2 linked regions of the Sus scrofa genome follow. The protein of the gene in region 1 purifies or fractionates together with the protein of each later gene. This does not show direct contact. Links are inferred from orthologs where the notes say so. Each region holds a gene or a part of one and is shown on either strand. Other genes may lie near its edges.

Region 1 (9,604 bases):
CCCAGCTATAGGCTAATGAAAATGCTCTGAGTACATTTAAGGGAGGGTAGGCTAAGCTGTGATGTTCAGTAGGTGTATTAAATGAATTTTCAATTTATGCTGTTTTTCAACTTACAATGGCTTTAATGTGACATAGCCCCATCATAAGTTGAGCAAGATCAGCAGTAAAGGGAATGGTTATACTTTCTCACTCCTGATTTTAGCAGGAAAGCTTTTAGAGTTTCACCATTGAGATCCTAGAAAACTTTATTTTGTAAAACGCAGGTAACACTATCCATTCTCTCTGATCTTCCACAGGGTTTCTTGGGAAGATAAAGAATGTAAAAACTCTCAAACTGAAAAGTGGTATACAGACATGCCTGTTGACTATCTATTTATCGCCCTGGCAGCCACGATGCCCAGAGTCCTAGGAGGGAGACGGGCTGGCGTCAGTGAGCCAGGTCCTCACTCAAACTGGGAAGCTCTGCTGGGGTTCAGAGGTGATGGGACACCTGGAGATGCTCTGGAGGTACTGCACAGGGGTTGCCGAAACTCGGCTTCTGTTTACTGGTGCTAAAAAGAAAAGTGGAGACAGAGTTTTGGGCGAAGTAGAAAAGAATAGCTTTTATTGCTTTGCCAGGCAAAGGAGGCCACAGCAGGCTTATGCCTTAAAGACTGTGCCCTTCTTTGAGAGAGAAAAGGATGAGGTTAGGGAGTGGGAAACAGGGCCTCAGATAAGGATCAGAGTAGATGCAAGCCTGTATTCTTCAGGGCTCGCGTCACAGTCCAGGGACAGGTTCCAGCGGTCTTTCAAACTGAAGTCGTGGTGACTGGATCGGGAGGACAATTGGTCTTGATGAGGACCCGTAAGGCTTCCACAGGCTTGGACTCTTAAGATCCCAGCCCAGAGGCGGGGCGAGGTTCTGCGGGCGGAAGCCGACAGGGAGTCACGTGGGCAGAGCAGGGGAAGTGACGCTTAGGAGCCCCCACAGGGCGGGGCTGGGTGTTTCCCCCCCCGCCTGGGGAAGGGGCCAACGGTTTTCAGGAAGGGCGGGGGAGAGGAGGTGGTGAGGCCGCGCTTCGTGACCCTTGGCCCCCAGCGACCCCCGCCAAGATGATGGGCTGTAGGGAGTCAGAGCTGGAGTCGGTGGGAGGGGGAGAGGCCCTGGCGGCCCCAGGGCCACCTCCAACACCTCGCGCCCCGGAGCCCGGAGCCCCAGTGCCGGAGCCCGGCCTGGATCTGAGCCTGAGCCTGAGCCCGCGGTCCGAGAGCCCTGGGCACCGGCGGCCCGACTGCAGCCCTGGACGGCGGAAGGGGCGGGCGGACCGACGGGGCGGGGCCCGCAAGGGACGGCAGGTGAGCTGGGGGGAGGGCTGGCCGCCAGTCAGCCGCCGGCTCGCGCCCACCTCCTCACCACCTCGCTCTGTTCCCAGGTCCGCTTCCGCCTGGCGCCGCCCTCCCCGGTCAGGTCCGAGCCGCCGCCGGCCGCTGCCGCACCGAACGAGAAACCTGCGGCGTCGCAGGACCTGGGGGCGCCCGCGCAGCAGAGCAGCCTGGCCCTGAGCCTCGAGCTGCAGGCTGCACGGGCCGCAGCCAGGGGCCAGTTCGATGCCGCGAAGGCCGTGGAGGAACAGCTGAGGAAGTCATTCCAGACCCGCTGCGGCCTGGAGGAGAGCGTGGCGGAGGGTGAGGGGGGCAGACAGATGGCTGGCCGGGCGCGGGAGTCGGGGTGAGACGCGCCGCTCACCTCCACTCCTCCTGCGGCCTCAGGGTTGAACGTGCCGCGCTCCAAGCGGCTCTTTCGGGACCTGGTGAGCCTGCAGGTGCCCGAGGAACAAGTTCTGAAGGCCGCGCTGCGGGAGAAACTGGCGCTCCTGCCGCCGCAGGCCCGAGCCCCGCCTCCAAAGGTGAGGGACCTGCCCTGCGTTTGCCTATCCCGGCCCCTCCCCGACTGTCGCGGGTCCTGTCCCCTCCCCGAGTGTAATCTCGATTTGGGTTCCCACTCCAACAGGAGCCACCTGGGCCAGGGCCAGACATGACTATTTTGTGTGATCCAGAAACACTATTTTATGAATCTCCACACCTGACCCTGGAAGGCTTGCCCCCTCTCCGGCTTCAACTCCGGCCTCGCCCTTCAGAGGACACCTTCCTCATGCATCGGACACTGAGGCGCTGGGAAGCGTAGACCTGGAAGCTCCCTGGATTGCTAGTGCACATTTGTTAAAACGATCAGAATAAAGTGGTTTTGCTAACAAGACTCTTCTTGGGACCCTTGAGATGAGGTCAAGTTTCAGGTTGCAAGCTGCCTGAAGTCAAGGTTTTGGTTCTCTTAAACTTTAAAAGAACTTGGTAGTGGTGAGTTGAAAACACTGCCCAAGTAGGGTTTCTATACTCTTCTCACCTCATACCCTGACTTCAGTCAGTTACCACCTTTTTGTGTTCTTGCATGCCGAAGTTCCCAGGCCAGGGATCCAACCCATGCTACAGCAGTACCACCACCAGAGTCTTAACCCACTGAGCCACCAGAGAACTCCACCACCTTTGTTTTTGATGACACCTCATTAGTTCTTTTTGTCTTTTTGCCTTTTCTAGGGCCCCTCCCACAGCATAAGCAGGTTCCCAGGCTAGGGGTCTAATCGGAGTGGTAGCCGCCGGCCTAAACCAGAGCCACAGCAACGTCGGATCTGAGCGGCGTCTGCCACCTACACCACAGCTCACAGCAATGCCAGATCCTTAACCCACTGAGCAAGGCCAGGGACTGAACCCGCAACCTCATGGTTCCTAGTCAGATTCGTTAACCACTGCGCCACAATGGGAGCTCCTCATTTGTTCCTTTGAACCACTTATTTCTGATCACTTTAATATGTGGGTCTCAGCCCACATCACACTTTGGGGAAGGCTTCCCTCAAAACCCAGCTCAAAGAGTCTGCAAGGTAGCTGCTAGCACCCTTGGTGAAATTATCTCCTTGCTTTCACCTTAAAGGACTCACTCATCTTGTTTACATTAACCCAAGAGTGCTTAATATTTGTTGAATGAATGTTCACAGCTCCAGGAACACTGCTGAGCTGCCCAAGAATTTGATGTTAATTAAATCACCCATTAGTCTGGTTTCACAGCACACCAAAAAATGTGGGTAGGAAGGTGCTACAGTCCAAAGAGTGCCTTTTCTAGTTATACTTCGGCTTCCAAAGTTAGCTTTGTGCCCAAAGCTCCCACAAAAAATTTTGCCAGTGGGTTTTTTGGGGAGGGTAGAGGGACATTTCTGTTTCACATCAGAATTCACGTTATACCCGCTTTTCCTGATCTAGGATTCTGTATACTTGTGTGTAGGTCTCAGTAGCATTCAATAATCTTCCCACCACTGAAAAGAACTCGTCCTTTTCCTTAAGACTATAGTTTGGGCAGAGAGGAAGCACCCCCCCCGTCCCCGTCCCTGCCACTAGAATGCCCCATACACAGGTGTGGGGGCCACTGCCCTAAACATCAAGTTTATTGTGCTGTTCTCACAATCCAAACCCAAACCCCTCTCCCAGTGGGGGACAGCAGAGGGAAGGATTTTCACAGTACCTGTATGCCTCCCCGCCACCTTCCCCCTCTTAACCCTTAGTCCATCTATCCGTGGTCCACTGAAACGCAGCTAGGGACAAGGGCTGAGGAGAAATGGGAATCTCTCCTTGGGAGGACAGGAAGAAGAGGCTAGAGAACTTGGTAACTCTACCTCCCATGCCCTAGGAGAACAGAGGTCAGCAAACAGTCCATGCCATCCAGCCCAGTGGGCCGGGGGAGAGGAAGATGGTAACTCCAGCACAGCTGGGCTTAGGTGCCAGAGGTGTAGGGGAGAGGCTGGGGCAGCAACATAAGAAAAGCGTTCTTTGCAGATCCAAGAAAGGAAAGTATTTTTGGAGCCAGAAAGGAAAGACCTTGGGATACTTCCTCTTCCCCCAGGTCCTCAGGAGCAGTGGGCAGCTTCTTCATACTCTCTGTTCAGGAGGCCACTTAGTGGCTGGGGGAAGAGGCCTTGTGGAACAGGTACACAGGACGCTGGAAGCCTGAGGAAGAGTGTGCCATCAGGAGGGGTTGGCAGGACCTTAAGACTCTCCACAGGGTCTACCCTGCACCAGGACAGGCCTCCCTTCCACCCCCAACAAAATAAGCCAGCCTTACCTTTGGAGGTGTTGTGAGGTGTGGCCACAAGCTCATAGCTGGAGAAGCCCACCTCTGGGGATGTCAGGTAGGAACTGAACTGCTCTGGCTTCAGCTGAATTCGATAGTAGTTCTTGTAGATTGTTTCCTAGAGAGAAGGGCAAGGGACCGCTTCAGCTTGGTGCCTTCTCTGTTGATGGAGAGTGATGCCCACCCAGGGGGCCTTTTCACTTCAGAAAGTCCGCTTTCTGCTTCCTTGAGACCTTTCTTGCCTCAACTAAAGGAAGGACAGCTACAATTTCCACAGAAACCCCAACTCACCGTGAGAGTCTTTCTCTTGCCGTAGGTTGACCAAGGTTGGGGCTCCAGGACCAGGATGCCCCCAGGGCGGAGGTGCAGATAGATCCGGCGAAACATGCGCTTCAGCCCCTCGTCTCCCCAGTTGAGATGCACCCACTTGGTGAGGCTGAGGCAGAGCACCACATCATACTCAGGTTTTTGGGCCTCCACCAGCTCATCTCGATCCAGCACATAGTTACCCTGAGGGTGAAGAGTTAGGGGTGAGGTCAAGAGACGCATTCAAGAACCACTGCCGCCCCCACAGTCCACTCTGCAGCCTCACTATAGTCCTGGCCACAACCTCCTCTGACATGCCTCAAAATAACTCCCAAACGGTGCCCTCTGGTTTTTTTGGGCCCACAGCACATGGAAGTTCCAGGGCGAAGGACCAAACCTGAGCCACAGCAGTGACAATGTTGAATCTTTAGCCACCAGGGAACTCTAAATGGTGCCCTCTTTTGAGTCTCATTTTCTTGCTTTCTATTGGTAACAAGCCAATCAAACATAAAAAGGGAGCCTGGATAATTTTAAGTTGAGCAAATTATCCATGAGATCGACAAAGTTGGGGTCAAATTGCAAAGAAAGAATGCTTGGGTTCTCCTAGGACCCTGTCCAGTACTTATTCCCACTCCACAATCACTGAGCTCAGTGACCCAACATTATGCAAAGGGCTCTAACTCAGGTTTGAAAGGGAGACCTGTGGGCTCATTTCCTGTAGTTGGGGCTGACAAAGTTTCAGGCCTATTCTTCCCTTTCTCTCAGGGAAATGAAGAGCTTCATCCCAAGAAAAGTTTTCTAGATGATAAGCTTATTACCACCGTCTGCCAAGTCCATTCTTCCAGTTGTAACCCAACACACTCTATTCCTGTGGAAGGCCTACCTGGAGCATTTTATGGGAAGCCACGTGAAGTCAGGGGACAGACACTGAGGGCACAGTCATCTTTCCTACAGAGGACTTTCTGACTCTCCCCCACCCCATCATCTAGGGTCAGTGTGGAGAGGATTTAAGGCCACGGGACACTCTTCAACCAACTCTGCATCTAACTGTAAACGAGGTCCTTATGGAAGGGCAGAAACTATGAGTATTAGCCACTTCCTCAATCCTCCCCCCATTCCATGCACCTTCAGGAGGTTGGAGGACAGGTTTTCATTTGGACCAGATGAGCAGCAGCCCCCAAGGGAAGGTGGACAGGAGTCTGTGCCTATCCTGGGGCTTGTAGTCATGAGAAAGGACTCCAAGTAGAGCCCCTACCTTCCCCACCTTGCTAGGTTATAGGAGGGGAAAGACACCCAGTGGAATCAGTCGCCGATTCAGACCCTTCTTTTGAGGATGTGGGCTCTTCATGTGCACAGAAGCCCTCTGGGTCGTAACCTTCCCCTGCCATGTTCCTGTTTAATCTCATCTTCATTCCCAGGCCCCTATCCCAAGCCTGCAGATCTTCTTACCGTGACGAAGACAACATTGTTGGGGAAGACGGACGTGTCTGCTCCATCCAAGGGCACTTGGGGTGCAGCGATGGGACCCCGGCTGGCGGTCAGGGAAGCTGGGAAGCAGCTCCTCTTTTGGACGGTTGAGGTCCCTTCCTCACCCTCTGTTCCTGGGTCCCCCTCAGAAGTCTGGGGTGGCTGACGCAGCTCTTCAGACAAGTAGTGTCGGATGTTTTGGCGGGCCGAGTGGATGAGATGGGGATCAATGTCCAGGCCCACCATGCGGGATGGGCCCCACTTACAGGCAATGCTCAGAGTCAGATGGCCCACGTTGCAGCCCAGATCTAGGACGTCACGACCCCGAAACCACTCAGGCTTCATAACCCGAAGGCGCCCATCCTCACAGGAAGGATTGCGGTACCCATAGTACTTGCAATAATTCCCATACTGGAACTTGCACTGCTGCTTTTTGAAGCCTGCTGCAGGTAGTGGGTGGGGGTGTTGGCGGCCTCCCCCACTCCCTCTGCCCTTTTCCTTGGGACCCTGGCCTCCACCCCTAGCCCCTGCCTCTGACTTGCTGGAAGTCCTGCGACGTTTGCGATGTCGTGAGGAGGAAGACGGGGGTGCAGAGGTAACTGAGGCAGCTGAAGGGGCTGAAAGGGAGCCTGAGGGACCCTGTAGGGCAGATGGAAGGGGAGACACGACCTCATCCCTGCAGTTGATGGCTGTGTTGAGTTCATAGGGTTGGGGGACGTCCCGGTTCTGGCCCCTTTGCCGCTGCTGCTGTGTGGTGCCCTCCCCTTGGAGTGAGGGAGTGAGGGGGGCTGTGGGCAGCACGGAGTGGCTATCATTCCCTCCAGTTGCCTGCTGCTGCTGCTGCTGCTGGTGGTGCTGTCCCCGATGTCTATGCCGCTTCCGACCAGTCTTGAGTGGTGAAGCAAGGACTACTTGGGCCTCATCAGTGCAAGTATTGAGACTGAGAGGGTCAGTAATATCTTTGGGGATGAGTATCTCCACTGGATCTCGTCCCTTGGCCGGAAGTGGGGATGACTTAGGGGTCTCCGCATTGAGTGCACGGCTCACTTCCTCATCCAGGAGACTATTCAGGTTCAGCGGATCAAAGATATTGCCCCCCAGGAGGAAGTTGGAAGGTAAGACAGAGTCACAGTCCGAATTAACCCGCCTGCGCCTCTTGAAGGCCGGATGTTTGAAGCCTCCACCACCTCCCCCTACATTACAGCTATTTCTCCTCTTGCCCCCACCTCCCCCAGGGGGCCGGTGGGGCTGATAGCCATTACGTGGTCGAGGAGGAGCAAGGGGGCCCAGTTCTGTTCCGCCCCCTCCCCGGCGCTCCTCCCCCACGTCCGGGGGAGCGGCTAGCCCCTGGGGATCCGACAAGCAGGCCTCTCCGGTCGACTGGGCCTGGGGGCCGCCCCCTCGCTGCTGCTGCGACTGGCCGCCCCGAGGGGTGGAGGTAGCCCCGGGGCTCTCCTTGCCTGCCCCAGAAGCTGGGGACCCCGCCGAGTGTGCGCGCGGGCCCGGCCCACGCTGCGTCCCGCCGCGGAGCTCCCCGGAGGCGACCTCTCGGTGTGGTTGCACCGTGGGGCCGCCCCCTCCGCCCGACTCATCTTTGAGCGGCGGTGGCGGGGCCGGCACCAGAAACGGCTCCTTCTCCGCCGCCATCTCGATCATTTCCTCCCCTTATTCCGTCCCAGTCGAGGGCAACCAGGGGGACCAGGGGGCTTAACCCCCCCTTCCTAAGACCGCGCTCCCTTCCCCCCTTTCCTGAGTGCGCGCGCAGTTCCGCTTCTCGCCTAGTCTCGTCCCCAAGCGCCTCCCCCGAAGCGCGCCCCACTCGCCCGCGAGACCAAAACAAGATGCCCGCGAGACCCGAACTCGAGGAACCAACCGCGCGTGCGCCGACTCCTTTCTCCTCTACCACTACCGCTTCGCCGCGAGCGCGCACTGCTGGAGCGCGTTCCTCTGGCCCCGGAATCACGCATGCGCACTCAGCCACCACCCTGGTTGCGCGCGCATCAGAGTACGAACCAACTTAACGGCTCCGGGAGTTTAAATATAGCCCCCCTAAGCCCCCCCAACCAAAGCCCACCACCCCAAACTGACGCCCTACTTCCCTTCGCAGCTACGTCCGTCCCTAGTGATATCCTTTGTCTCTGCCGCGCGATCCCACCCACCGTAGGCGGGGGACGGGGAGCTGGTGTGAAAAGGTCTCCTTGACACCCGACCCTTGTTCCTGAGGAATGAGTCTCTGCCGTCTCCGCCCGGCTCTAAACCCAGCAACCTCCCTACCCCGCCTCCTTCCTCCCCCTAGCGGGCAGCGCCTGCGCACACCCTTTTGGGCTTGCGCGGGTAGATGCAGCACGTGCTGGAGATGACGCCCCTCCCTCCGTCCTAGAGGCGGGGACTGCTACGTCGCTTCCTCAGGTTTGGTACGCGCAACATGCGTCAGCACGATTCGGAGGGGCGTGGCTAAAGAACGGGGAGGCCCTCGTGAATTATTCATAAAGTGGTGGCCCTCTTGGCCCACCTATTTCTAAAGAGGGGCGAACCTAGAAGTAGGAGAAGGAAAGGAGCGGAGTGTACCCACTGTCTTCCTAACTACTGTTCTCAGTATAATACAATAGGTCATTTTAACTCACCCCCCTGGAAAATATTCTCTGATGAACTGGGGGAAAAAAAGTACTAAGGCGATGTTGTCCAACTTCCTCTTTCCCCGAAACGGCCAGGTCGTTCTCTCGCTCCTCCGCCTTCCCTCAATCGCGATCACCTGGGGACACCACGCCCTCCTCTCCGCCTCCACACCCACCACCCGACGCCTGCTCGCGAGCCCCTCCCCCCGTTAGGGAACGGCGACCCAGACGCCCACCACAGCCACCAATAACAGTATATCTACCACCACCGCCCCCTTTGCACGCAGGCTTTTCCGAGCACCCGCGGCGCGTTTGCGCCGCCTTATATAAAAACGAACGTGGGCAGGGAAGAGATTTCGGTCGGCTTTGGGGGCCCCGGCCTCAGCCAATGGGGAACAAGCTACTCGATGCCCTTTTCAGAGGGGGCCCGTTCTCCGGGCCCACAGCGATTGGGGTTTGGGTCCTGTGGCTGCGAAGAGGGCGAAAGAGGCGGGAGTGGTGTTAAGGGTAGTCTCAAAATATCAAAATAAGGGTTTGAAGGAGACTCAAAGGGAGAATGGGAATCAGGAAGGAAGTCTAGGGCAGAGAAAAAAGTTAGGAAAAGGAAGATGGGCTTCATGAACGATCAGGCACTGCTGCTGCCACCTAAAAAAAAAAAAAAGTGAGGCCAACCAGGATTATGGGACTTGTAGTTTTACAGGGCGTTTGTTTGGAAGATGGCGCTATAACTCAGCTGCGCAAGCGCCGAACTAGCTTCCAGCTGCGCATGCGCAGCAGTCCTGCGAGCACGCCGCTTGTAGGAGGGGTGGGGTGGAGCTTGTGTGTGGCCTCGCGCCTTACCTTGCTTGGTGGCGGGAAAACTGGCTCGAGTTTTGGAGGGGTTTGCAGAGTTGCTGCGGTAGCTCATTCTGCTCCTGGCCTTTAGGTCCTCCTCGCTCCAGAAGATTGCTGGTGCTTTTCCGGTTGCAGGTGAAGGTGCTAGGCGCGGCCAATCCTAGTACCTGTTGCCTGAGGAGAGGTTTTCTCTTTAGGGCGAGGACCAACTCTTAGCCTGAGGAGAAG
Region 2 (10,251 bases), on another chromosome or scaffold:
GTGCAGCCCTAGAAAATACAAAAAGACAAACAAAGTTGAAGTTCCTGTAAGTGGGGAGACTGCATGTAACAACCCTGCAAGGCTTGGTGTAGTTACCCATTTTACAGAGAGGAAACTAATATTGAGATGGTAAGGGATATTTCTCCAGACACTTTAGCAGTAAGTAGCAGCAGTACTGTGGGTCCAAATATAGGACTGTCTGACTTCAATGGCTTTGCTTTGATAGAAGGAAATAAAAAGAGGAGAAAAGCTTACACAGGAAGAGAGGAGCAAATCAAAGCAAATAGAAGTAAGCCAGAATAGAAAAACATTTAGAGAAGGAAAGAAGAGGAAGAGAAAAGCTTTGCTAGAATTCCTACCTGGGAAAAACCCAGGTAAGACCAGCTCAGGGCTTGGCTCAACAAATGTAGTTTCCATTCTCCCTCTTCCCTTGCCAGTATGAAATCCTCGTTTTTTACAGGTGTGAAAACTCAGAAACAGTAAGTCGTGTCTCCACCCCACATGGATAGATAAACTTCTTAGAGCCACAATAAGAGAATATCTGGGAAAAGGAAAGCAGTGAATGTTTGGCATATCTTTCAGCTACTGGTGGAAAAATACAAGTTATTATTTTTCTTGAGAGCAGATTTAGATACGTTAGTAAGTCAGACTCCACTGAAAGGGGAGGAAACCAGGCAACCCTCTTAGCTGAACTCACTGTTCCAGAGAGGAAGATCTTGGTGATTTTTCTAACAAACCATTGGTATTTCTCTCCCAATAGTTAATTTCGTGGCTCAGTTCTTTTCAGAGGAAGTGGAAAGCAGAGAGGAAGGTGTTAGTGAACCATAGACCCCCCACCTCTGAGCCCCGGTCAGTACAACAGCCTTTGCCAGAAGACAGACTGGTATTCGTTGCGGAGGAGAGGGGTGCCGAATTCAATCTCCTCAGGAACTTCCTTTTATACTGTTACTAAATGCGATACTTTCTGGATGGCCTGACCCGTCTCATTTGCCTTTGAGTTTCTATTAAACATTTCAAGAGTCCAAAATGATGACGCCATCGTCTCTGCCAAATCGTGCAGTTTGGGTGAGAGGTGGCAGACCAGCCAGAGTTGGGCCGACTTTCCGTGACTGGGCTTTTCCCCAAGTGTGGGACCCGGAGGGGCACAGTGTGGTGACAGCGGGTTCACAAACAGCCCCGTGACCTTGGGAGCAACTCCGAAGCACGTTTGTAAACGTGATGGTCTCAGTTCCTGCCTAACCGCTCATGCGGAGCAGTAATTAATGAACTCATTTTATACTGTAATCTTATTGGGTGCAAAAGGCTCTATCAGTGTTTGGGTGTGACCGGCGATGATGTTATTAAATCCCTATTAATAGGCTATTTGGAGATGAGGGAGAGGTGACTGAGGAGAACTCGGCAACAGGAGAATTACACCGAGGGAGCTCTGGCCCTGAGGCACGACGGCTGCGCGCGTCTCCACCGACGAGGCAGCACAACCAGAGAAGGCTCTCAGCAACCGCGGTTCTCGCAGCGTTTGTGGCCATTACGTCACGGTCTTCTTCGCCTCTCATTGGGCGAACCCGTCCAATCATGTGACTCCAGGATGGCTTATAAATACAGGCGAGGAGACGGTGTTGGTCCGCCATTTCGTGGACGCCGGATCGGGGAGAGTATCTGCTGGAGCCAGGCGGGAGGGGAGTGGGAAGAGACAGCCGCGGGTGCGTGGATTTGAGTCTTCGCATTTCTAATCTAAGATCTCGGTAAGAGACCCAGCGACTAAAGGAATGAGGTGGGAAATGGGCCTTAACAGGACCGAGGTGGGGCCAGGCCCAATGGCGGCGCCAGATTGAGACAAAGAGACGCTGCCGCCATTTTGTGACGTTCAACACGGGGCGGTGGAGGGGGCTCCCGGCCCCCCGGAGCAGGCACCCAGGCTTCCAAGTGGAGGTGCTTATAACCCTTCCCTGGGGGGCTGAATCGGGAAGTGAGATTGCTCGAGTTGAGGCAAAGGGGGTATCGGTAATCGGTTGTACTCTAGATCGCGGCCATTCAATTTATGGCGCCTTTTTTTTCTTTTTGCCCACGTTTCCTTAAGTAGCGGCTTAGGATTTTTTTTCTTCAAGTCACTACTCAAGACTGGACCCTTCGATCCATATTTGAGGATTTCTCTACTTTCTTTCATTTTCGTGTTACTTTAACTTCACTTTTTACAGCCTGAATCCAATAACTATTTTTTTTTAAGCTGATCTTTCTTGAGCTGTATTGTTCTTATAGCTGCTTCGCATTAAAACTGGTCAGGGTAAAGTTTTTGGGAAAGATTAATTCACCAACAATGGGTTTGGTCTCGGAACTTCTGGGCACAGGGCGGGGTCACACAAATAGGATGTGTCTGGGCGGGTATTTTTTTTTTTTTTAATTGGATAACGTGTTTATGAAAAGCCCTTAAGCTGAGTTTTTGGACAGGCTGCTTTTCGTATGTAATCTACAAGTTGATTAGATTCGTTGCTGAGGCGGCTTTATTAGTATTGAAGGTTTTTCAAATGTAAACTAAAGTGCCTTAAGTTCTTGCACAACAAATAATCTATTTTTTTCCCCATGAGGTGGAGTTAATGTAACATTCATTTTAAAGTGCACGATTCAGAAGCATTCGATACCTTCACAATGTTGTGTAACTATCACCTCTATCTAGTTTTAAAGCATTTTATTATACCCACTAAGGTGACCTGTACTGTTAAGCAGCCACTACCCTTTTGGCCTGCCCCTTTCTCTCCCGCAGCCCCTGGTAGCTACTAATCTGTCTCTGGATTTACCCGTTTCGGATATTTCACATACATGGGATGGTATTACGTGTATTTTTTTTGTCTGATATCTATAACTTAGCATGCTTTCACGTTTTGTCCATGTTTATGGGTACTCGTTCCTGAATACTCCATTGTATGGGTAATAATTTTGCTTCTCCATTTTGTTGCTGGACATTTGGGTTAACACCTTTCGGCTGTTGAGGGTAGAACAAGATATATATTTTTAAAAAACAAGTTTGTCCTGCTTGAGTAAAGTTTTGGCTTGTGAAGGCACATTACTATCACTTTTTTAGTGGTTTAGCCTTAACTGCTGTCTTGTCTTCACTTGTCATTTTGTTTTGTAGTCTCCAGGTTTTGCTTTTAATCCTACTTTTCAAAGTTGTTCCTCCCCCCCCTTCAGATAACTGAAATAGGTTTAAGTCTCTCAGTTCCCATTTTGTGGCATATGCTCCCCTACTGTTTCCTCCCTCCACTTCTCTGGGAGGTGATTTTTTTTTTTATTTTCTTACACAGCTTGGCTTCCAGGTGGTTATTGGCAACGATTGGGGTGTTTCAAGGGTAGTGCCTTTACCTTTTTTCGGTTTTTGAATTCTTTCCTAAGGATCTGTTTTTTACTGTGTGGGTTATGATATTTTGGATTTTTTTTTTTTTTTTTGTTACAGAAATGCATCGTGATTCCTGTCCATTGGACTGTAAAGTTTATGTAGGTAATCTGGGAAACAATGGTAACAAGACTGAATTGGAACGAGCTTTTGGCTATTATGGACCACTCCGAAGTGTATGGGTTGCTAGAAATCCTCCTGGCTTTGCTTTTGTTGAATTTGAAGATCCCCGAGATGCAGCTGATGCTGTCCGAGAGCTAGATGGGAGGTAATTTGTTAATTTTTGCTAATAATATGTTGTTTGTCCTTTTAATATTTAAAATCTCTAGGATAAGAGGTTTTTAGATGGCTTTGTGGAGATTTACATAAATTTTTTTTTTTCTGGCCAAAAAAGGACAACGGTTTTAGTGACGATACGTAGGGAGAGTTTATTCAGTTTGCCATTGAAGAAAAGAATTTTATTTGCAGTTGGCGGGTGGAGAGCAGCATCCAAAATATGACTGAAATATTTTAATCTAAATCCACTATAAATAGTCATGTTGTAAACTTTGAAATCTAAAATTGTGGAATCAGACATTCCCTTATGGTCACATCCTGATTGATTGTAGCTGGATGATGGTTACATGGGTTTATTGTACCATTATCTTTACATGATAACACTTTTTTTTAGGAAGTGTGGGTGTTATTTCCCTATGCTTTTAGTGTCTTGTTGACTGGCTAAGTAACACCTGAGGTTAGTTGGGTGTTTTGTTTTGTTTTTTGGTTTTTTTTGTTTGTTTTTTCTGTGCTAGTGGCTTGTGGATGTTCCCAGGTTCTGGGATCAAATGTGACAGTGCTGCATTCTATTTTTTTTTTTCTATTACTCAGTGAACTTATTACATTTTTAGTTGTACGATGATCATCACAATCCAATTTTATAGGATTTCCATCCCCCAACCCCCCCAAACTGTCTCCAGTGCTGCATTTTTAACTTGCTGAGCCACCGGGGAACTCAAATAACACCTGAGTCTTAAAGTGAACTAGTGTTGCCCTTTATCCTGGCATTTGCAAACCACTGGATTTCATGAAATCAAGGAAAACTTTGATCCTTAAGATGGAAAACTGAAAGGATCTGAGAGTTGGCTGTAAAGCTATATGAAAGGTCACTTAACTAAGCAAATTGCAGAAACTGGTTGAGAGCCCCACCTCTTCCCAGTGTCTGTCCAAATGTGGCTTATCTAAACTTAATGGTTGTGGACCAATGAAGAGGTGGGAGATAACTTTCTTACTGTTCTCACTTGCAATTTCTTGTCAACTATTGTGTGATGATTGAGTGGAGAGGGTTGTATTAAATAAATGGCCAGAATGCTTCTGTCCTGTTTACTGCTCTTTACTTGGAGGTATGAAGAGAAAGGAGACCAACAAATATAGTAAGGTTGGTAAACAATTGCTGGGACCTCAAAGGAAGTAGTCACACCAGCATGTACAGATGAACTAATTCTTTGAGAATGGATCCAGGGATTTTCACACTTAATATTGTCACTGTGATCATTGAACCCAATGATCACACTGACTAACAAAGCAATAAAATGTAAGGAAGGTGTTTTTTACCAGAAAAAAATATAGAAACTAAACCTTGTTTTGGTGTTAAGAATTCTATGAGCATTCAGATGTTTCTTACACAGAAACTAGCTATAAATGAATGTTGGGGTTTTTTTCCCGCTTTAATGTGTATCTTTTAATCAATCCGGCTGCTTTAAATTTAATGTTTCTTCCCTCTTAGAACGCTGTGTGGCTGCCGAGTAAGAGTGGAACTCTCTAATGGTGAAAAGAGAAGTAGAAATCGTGGCCCACCTCCTTCTTGGGGTCGTCGCCCTCGAGATGATTATCGGAGAAGGAGTCCTCCACCTCGCCGCAGGTACTTAGAGAGAGCGTGTTTAGAGGTATTGGTGTAATGGAGTAGCTGATAGGAACAGGTATTCTCTTAAAGTTTGTTGGTGGGTTTTAAACTTTGAAGAATCAGAGGTTTTTATGAAACATTTGCTGGGCGTAGCTTGGGGTATGTGAGTTGTGCTGAGTGTTGGCTTTTGTCTTAGGTCACTGTTCATGTTGGTAGTCAGTAACTTCTATCTTGGATCTATCTTCTAGTTCATCTTCTAGTTGCATCTTTCCAAGTCTTCCCTTATACTTCAATTTAGGCCTTTTTCCATTTCTTGACTCCATAATGACAAACATTACATTCAATTCTAGCTCTTCACCAAAATGTGTTTTCTACTATTGTAATATTTATCAAACAGGCAGCTGTTTTAATGTTGCAACTGGTAAAGTAGAAGTCATTCTGAAACTAACTTAAGTCACTGACCAATAAAGGGGGCTAAAGTAATCCCAGTCATCTGTTCTTCAAACCCAAATAGGAGAGAATTCAGTTTTTTTATAATTAAAAATGGCATCTTTCTTGGACCAGGCAGTATTGTCTGGATGCTAACTCCACATCTCCTCAAACCTCCAAAATAGTTTCTATAGGACTGAATTTACCTCTTACAGGTGAGTGAAGTCCTTCTAGGAGATAGGAGTTCAAAATCTTGCCCCTTTTGCTGTTTTGAAAAACAAAACAACACACTGTTGCCCATCATAATAAAGAGTATTTGTTAGCTAATAGATGGTTGTACTGATGGCTTGTTTTTCATTTTTTTTTTGTGCTTTTTGGTCCATCTATTAATAAAAATGAACCCCGTTACAGAGTCACCATCATGTCTCTTCTCACCACCCTCTGAATCTGCATTAGCCAGTCAACTAGCCCTTTCAGCGTCATGTGACCAGCGCGCCCCATTCAGCTTGGCTGGTGTCGTTTCACATGACCCAGGCATGGCCAGTCGTCAGGTTGCACCGCCCTTTGGTTCCCGAGCATGCTGTTTTCTCTCAGCCTTCTCTCCAACCTTAACCAAATCGGCAGCAGCCACCTCGACCGCCCACACATTCCTGGCCAATCAGCTCAGCTGTTTATTTACCAAATGTCTTCACAACAACTACAGCAGCAGCCTTCGGCTAACAAAAAAGCAGGAAAAATCCACAACACCCCCTTCGCCAACCAACTAAATCCAACGCAACATCTGGCAAAACCTTTTCAGCAAATTCTTCCTGGCCGTCAGTCCGGCAGCCTCACCTCACCATTTCTAGCTTGTTGAAACCCAAAAACTAGTAAGTTTTTCCTGCTTATACAGTTTACTGCTGGTTAAAATAAGGAGTAAGCGGCTTAAAGTAATTCTTTTTTCTGGATCAAAGGCTGGCTGTGCATAATTGAATGGTAACGTACATATATATTGCTTGAATAAAACTTTTAAGGGTGATAGGGAACTCATAATGTAACTAGACCTTCAAGTGAAACTTATTTGCATGTTTGAGATGCCAAACTAAAATTTTAATAATTCTAACAGATTTAGCTTTCCTTTCTAGCAAAAATTTGTTGAATCCTATCACCTTTAAATGGTTTTACTAACAGTTTTCAAAAATTAAAATTTTGGGGGTGAAGTGGGCCAAGCTAAGGTAATTTTGATAAGCCTAAACACACTCTTAAATGTGACGATCACAAATGGCAGTTCTAATGTAGCACTTAATGGCATCAATATTTACACCTAGCGCGTTTTCACAGAATTACACTATCCACCTGGTACCTAAGTCTTGTCATGGACTTATAGGTTTGCATGGGTTCCAAATACTGATTTATGGTACTGTTTTTGGAACTATTGTGGGACTACATTTTGGTGTGGTGTTTGGGTAGTGAAGTTAGTTTGACATGAAAGTTTTGCATTGGACAGATCTGCTGTGAAGCATTCTTTGTTAAAGTGAATCCATGGTTGGATACCTGCTTTTCACTTGAGCTTTTGGTTCCTTAATCCTTCTGTGCCTTTTTTCTTTTCTTTAAAAAAAAATTTTTTTTATTATTTTTGGACGATGGGTGCCAGTTCTTCGGCACATTCACTGGGCCCAACAGTGAGATTGAAAAGTTGGGAAATGCCTCACGCCATAAATGCTAATTGACAGTTAGTCTAATTTTCCTGTTTCTGCTTTTAGATCTCCAAGACGGAGAAGCTTCTCCCGTAGCCGGAGCAGGTAAATAACTACTTTTTGCGGGCCACGTTCTCAGAAATGGGAGTATTTGTGCTGTTCCTAAGCTGTTTTCCAAATGACTTAGATAATAGTAATAGATGTTGACTTTCATAATGACTGAGGTAGTATCTGTAACCACTGTTAAGTTGTAAGAAAAATTAGTTTTTAGTTTTTCAAAATCTTGGAAATACGGGTGTATGATCCTGAATGGCCCTATTTTTTTTTTCCCCTCTGACTTCAGGTCCCTTTCTAGAGATAGGAGAAGAGAGAGATCACTTTCTCGGGAGAGAAATCACAAGCCGTCCCGTTCTTTCTCTAGGTCTCGTAGGTAAGATCTTTAATGACCTGAGGCATAAAAGACCTTGCATACATAATGTACTAAAAACAAGTACTTCTTTTAAGTCATTTTGATACAATTTTTGTAACTTTTGGTTTTTGTTTTTAGCCGATCCAGGTCAAATGAAAGGAAATAGAAAACCAGTTTGCAAGAGGAGTGGTGTACAGCAAATAACTTCATTTGACAGGAGTATGTACAGAAAATTCAAGTTTTGTTTGAGACTTCATAAGCTTGGTGCATTTTTAAGATGTTTTAGCTGTTCACATTTGTTTGTCTCTTGGCAACAAAAGTAAAGATGTAATTTTTACACATAAAGATGTAATTCTCTATGGTTTGAAATGAATCATATGAGGCATGTAATACCAAGAATTGTTACTTTACAATGTTCCCTTAAGCAAAATTGAATTTGATTTTTTTTTTTTAAGTCTTGCATAGATTGATAATAAACCTCTAACTCCTGCCCAGCTAAACTGTGATGTTCAATATTACTGAAGCAAAACCGGCAAAAATTTGAGAAGACTTTCCATAGCTGGAATATGGTGTGCAGTTGTAGTTGAGCAAGCAGTCTTTAAAAGCTGCTATGAATGCAAACCAGCAGGTAAAAGTTAAAGCTGCATCATTAAACTACTAGATTAGAGGTTTAAAAATCCCACTAGTCTTCATAATGGACAGGATATTGTCCAGTTGTATAGAATCTAAGAAGTTTCAGGAAAATTAGTTTACTTTTGCTTTAGGTCATAAGTTCCTTCTGTGATTGCTATATATGAATACATAGCTCTTTGTAACATTCTTTATTTGAAAATTGGAGACTATTCAAGATACATTCTGATGTTCTACCAGTTTAAGGGTACATTGTAGAGCTGAACTTTGAGTTACTGTGCAAGATTTTTTTTCATGCTGTCATTTGTAATATGTTTTGTGAGAATCCTTGGGATTAAAGTTTTGGTTACAAATTGTTGTTTAACCTGAAAGCCTGTTTTTCCTTGCAAAACTAAAATCTGTGAGCTTGGTACCAAGTCCAGGTATAACATTCCTATTGGAAGCCATACTTATATTTTCTTGTAAAGTGCTTTTGACAATAAAATATTAGCATAATTGTGTAATAGTCGAACCCACTGTTACCATAGTTCTTGTCCCATAGAAGGCAGTTGGTTACACAAATCTTAACTCTGTAAGCACAGTTGAGGCTTTTGAAATGAAAGGAATTGTGTCCACCTAAGTGATAAAACTTAAATTTTTAGGCGTAGAAGCCAGTTCAAAAAGTCCATGATACTCAGTGACCAACATTTTAAAGTATAGCCACCTGATACATTATAATCCAAAGTTGCCCTTTAAAAGGGGCTTTTATCATTAGCATGAAAACTTTAACACAGAGCTTTAAAAATTGCTTCCATTTTATATAATTTGAGGTGTTGCATGGGAATTCTAAATTGGTCCGTCATGATGTAAAATCCACTATATGGTTAAAATGTAACAGTACAGAGTTGCATACGGAGGCATGCATAACTTTCCTCTTAGAAATCTAGAGGAGTTGTAACTTCAAATTTTTGTGCAATTAGATTAAATCATAATACAACAGTCTTGTGGCTTAGTTTCCTTAAATGTGCTATTTAAAGACAGTTTTGGATTATGCTGTACTGACTTTAATGTGAAAGATAAGTCATTAATCTGTAAGGATATTTTATAAGATACAAATCCTAAACACTATTTCCAGTGGTCCTTCTTAACCTTTCATGCAAATAATCAAGGGAGGAGAGTCTTTTGGTGTTGGTGAAGTTCAGTATGAGCCTTGTTATAGAAGATATTGTTAAGGCTGCCTGGTGATTTATTGGAGCTCAGATTTAGGGCCTTTTGTCATTTCATAGCTTAAAAGCTTTTGTTATGAACAAAGCAAGATAGCCAAAAATTCATGGAAGTAATAAGGTATATTAATTACACTGCTCTTAAATTTATATGGGCATTTTTGGCAGCATATAACTTGAAGAGACTTAAATTGGAAGGGTTTCTGTAAAAAATTATGGCAAAATGTGGCTGATACATAAAGTTAACCTCAGGGAGTTACCTTTAGGATCCAAATTTGTAATCACTTTAACCAGAAGCCCTAACACAAATTTATGGCTTGTTAAAAATACGGAAGATAGAAATTGTTAAAACCGCATTCTACATTTAGATTGCGGCTGTTCACTAGTTTCTGAAATTGTAAGTCCCATTTGTCAGTCTGTCTTGCATCATCAGTTGATGATACTGAAAACAGTCATAAAAACTTTGACTTGTGTATGATTACAAATGTTTGCTTACTAATATTTGGTGATAATTCAAGGAACATACCTAGGGATAAGTTGTTTTTTATGCTTACAGAAATATTTAACACTGATTCTCAGTTCATTGTGGATTACTTACCTCCATGTCTTAAGCAGAAAGATAAAAACAAAGATATATTAGC

Evidence for each region. Proteins that work in one complex are often made in the same cells at the same time.
Region 2: the proteins of MEPCE (region 1) and SRSF3 purify together in Homo sapiens (affinity purification with mass spectrometry; 3 studies listed by BioGRID and IntAct, with this or other methods). This does not show direct contact. The link is inferred for Sus scrofa from reciprocal best matches to the Homo sapiens genes MEPCE and SRSF3.

What each region holds. Positions count from the first base shown.
Region 1 is NC_010445.4:8,355,638-8,365,241, reverse strand, and holds MEPCE (7SK snRNA methylphosphate capping enzyme), read right to left. Parts: upstream 8,641-9,604; 5' UTR 7,584-8,640; coding exon 5,910-7,583; intron 4,665-5,909; coding exon 4,446-4,664; intron 4,273-4,445; coding exon 4,146-4,272; intron 4,031-4,145; coding exon 3,978-4,030; 3' UTR 3,444-3,977; downstream 1-3,443. Other genes in the region: PPP1R35 (protein phosphatase 1 regulatory subunit 35), read left to right, coding at 1,094-1,336, 1,414-1,666, 1,751-1,887, 1,992-2,165. UniProt on the Homo sapiens protein: S-adenosyl-L-methionine-dependent methyltransferase that adds a methylphosphate cap at the 5'-end of 7SK snRNA (7SK RNA), leading to stabilize it.
Region 2 is NC_010449.5:32,287,859-32,298,109, forward strand, and holds the start of SRSF3 (serine/arginine-rich splicing factor 3), read left to right. Parts: upstream 1-1,605; 5' UTR 1,606-1,742; intron 1,743-3,445; 5' UTR 3,446-3,447; coding exon 3,448-3,653; intron 3,654-5,147; coding exon 5,148-5,282; intron 5,283-6,104; exon of another isoform or gene 6,105-6,562; intron 6,563-7,435; coding exon 7,436-7,474; intron 7,475-7,712; coding exon 7,713-7,799; intron 7,800-7,916; coding exon 7,917-7,944; 3' UTR 7,945-10,251. UniProt on the Homo sapiens protein: Splicing factor, which binds the consensus motif 5'-C[ACU][AU]C[ACU][AC]C-3' within pre-mRNA and promotes specific exons inclusion during alternative splicing.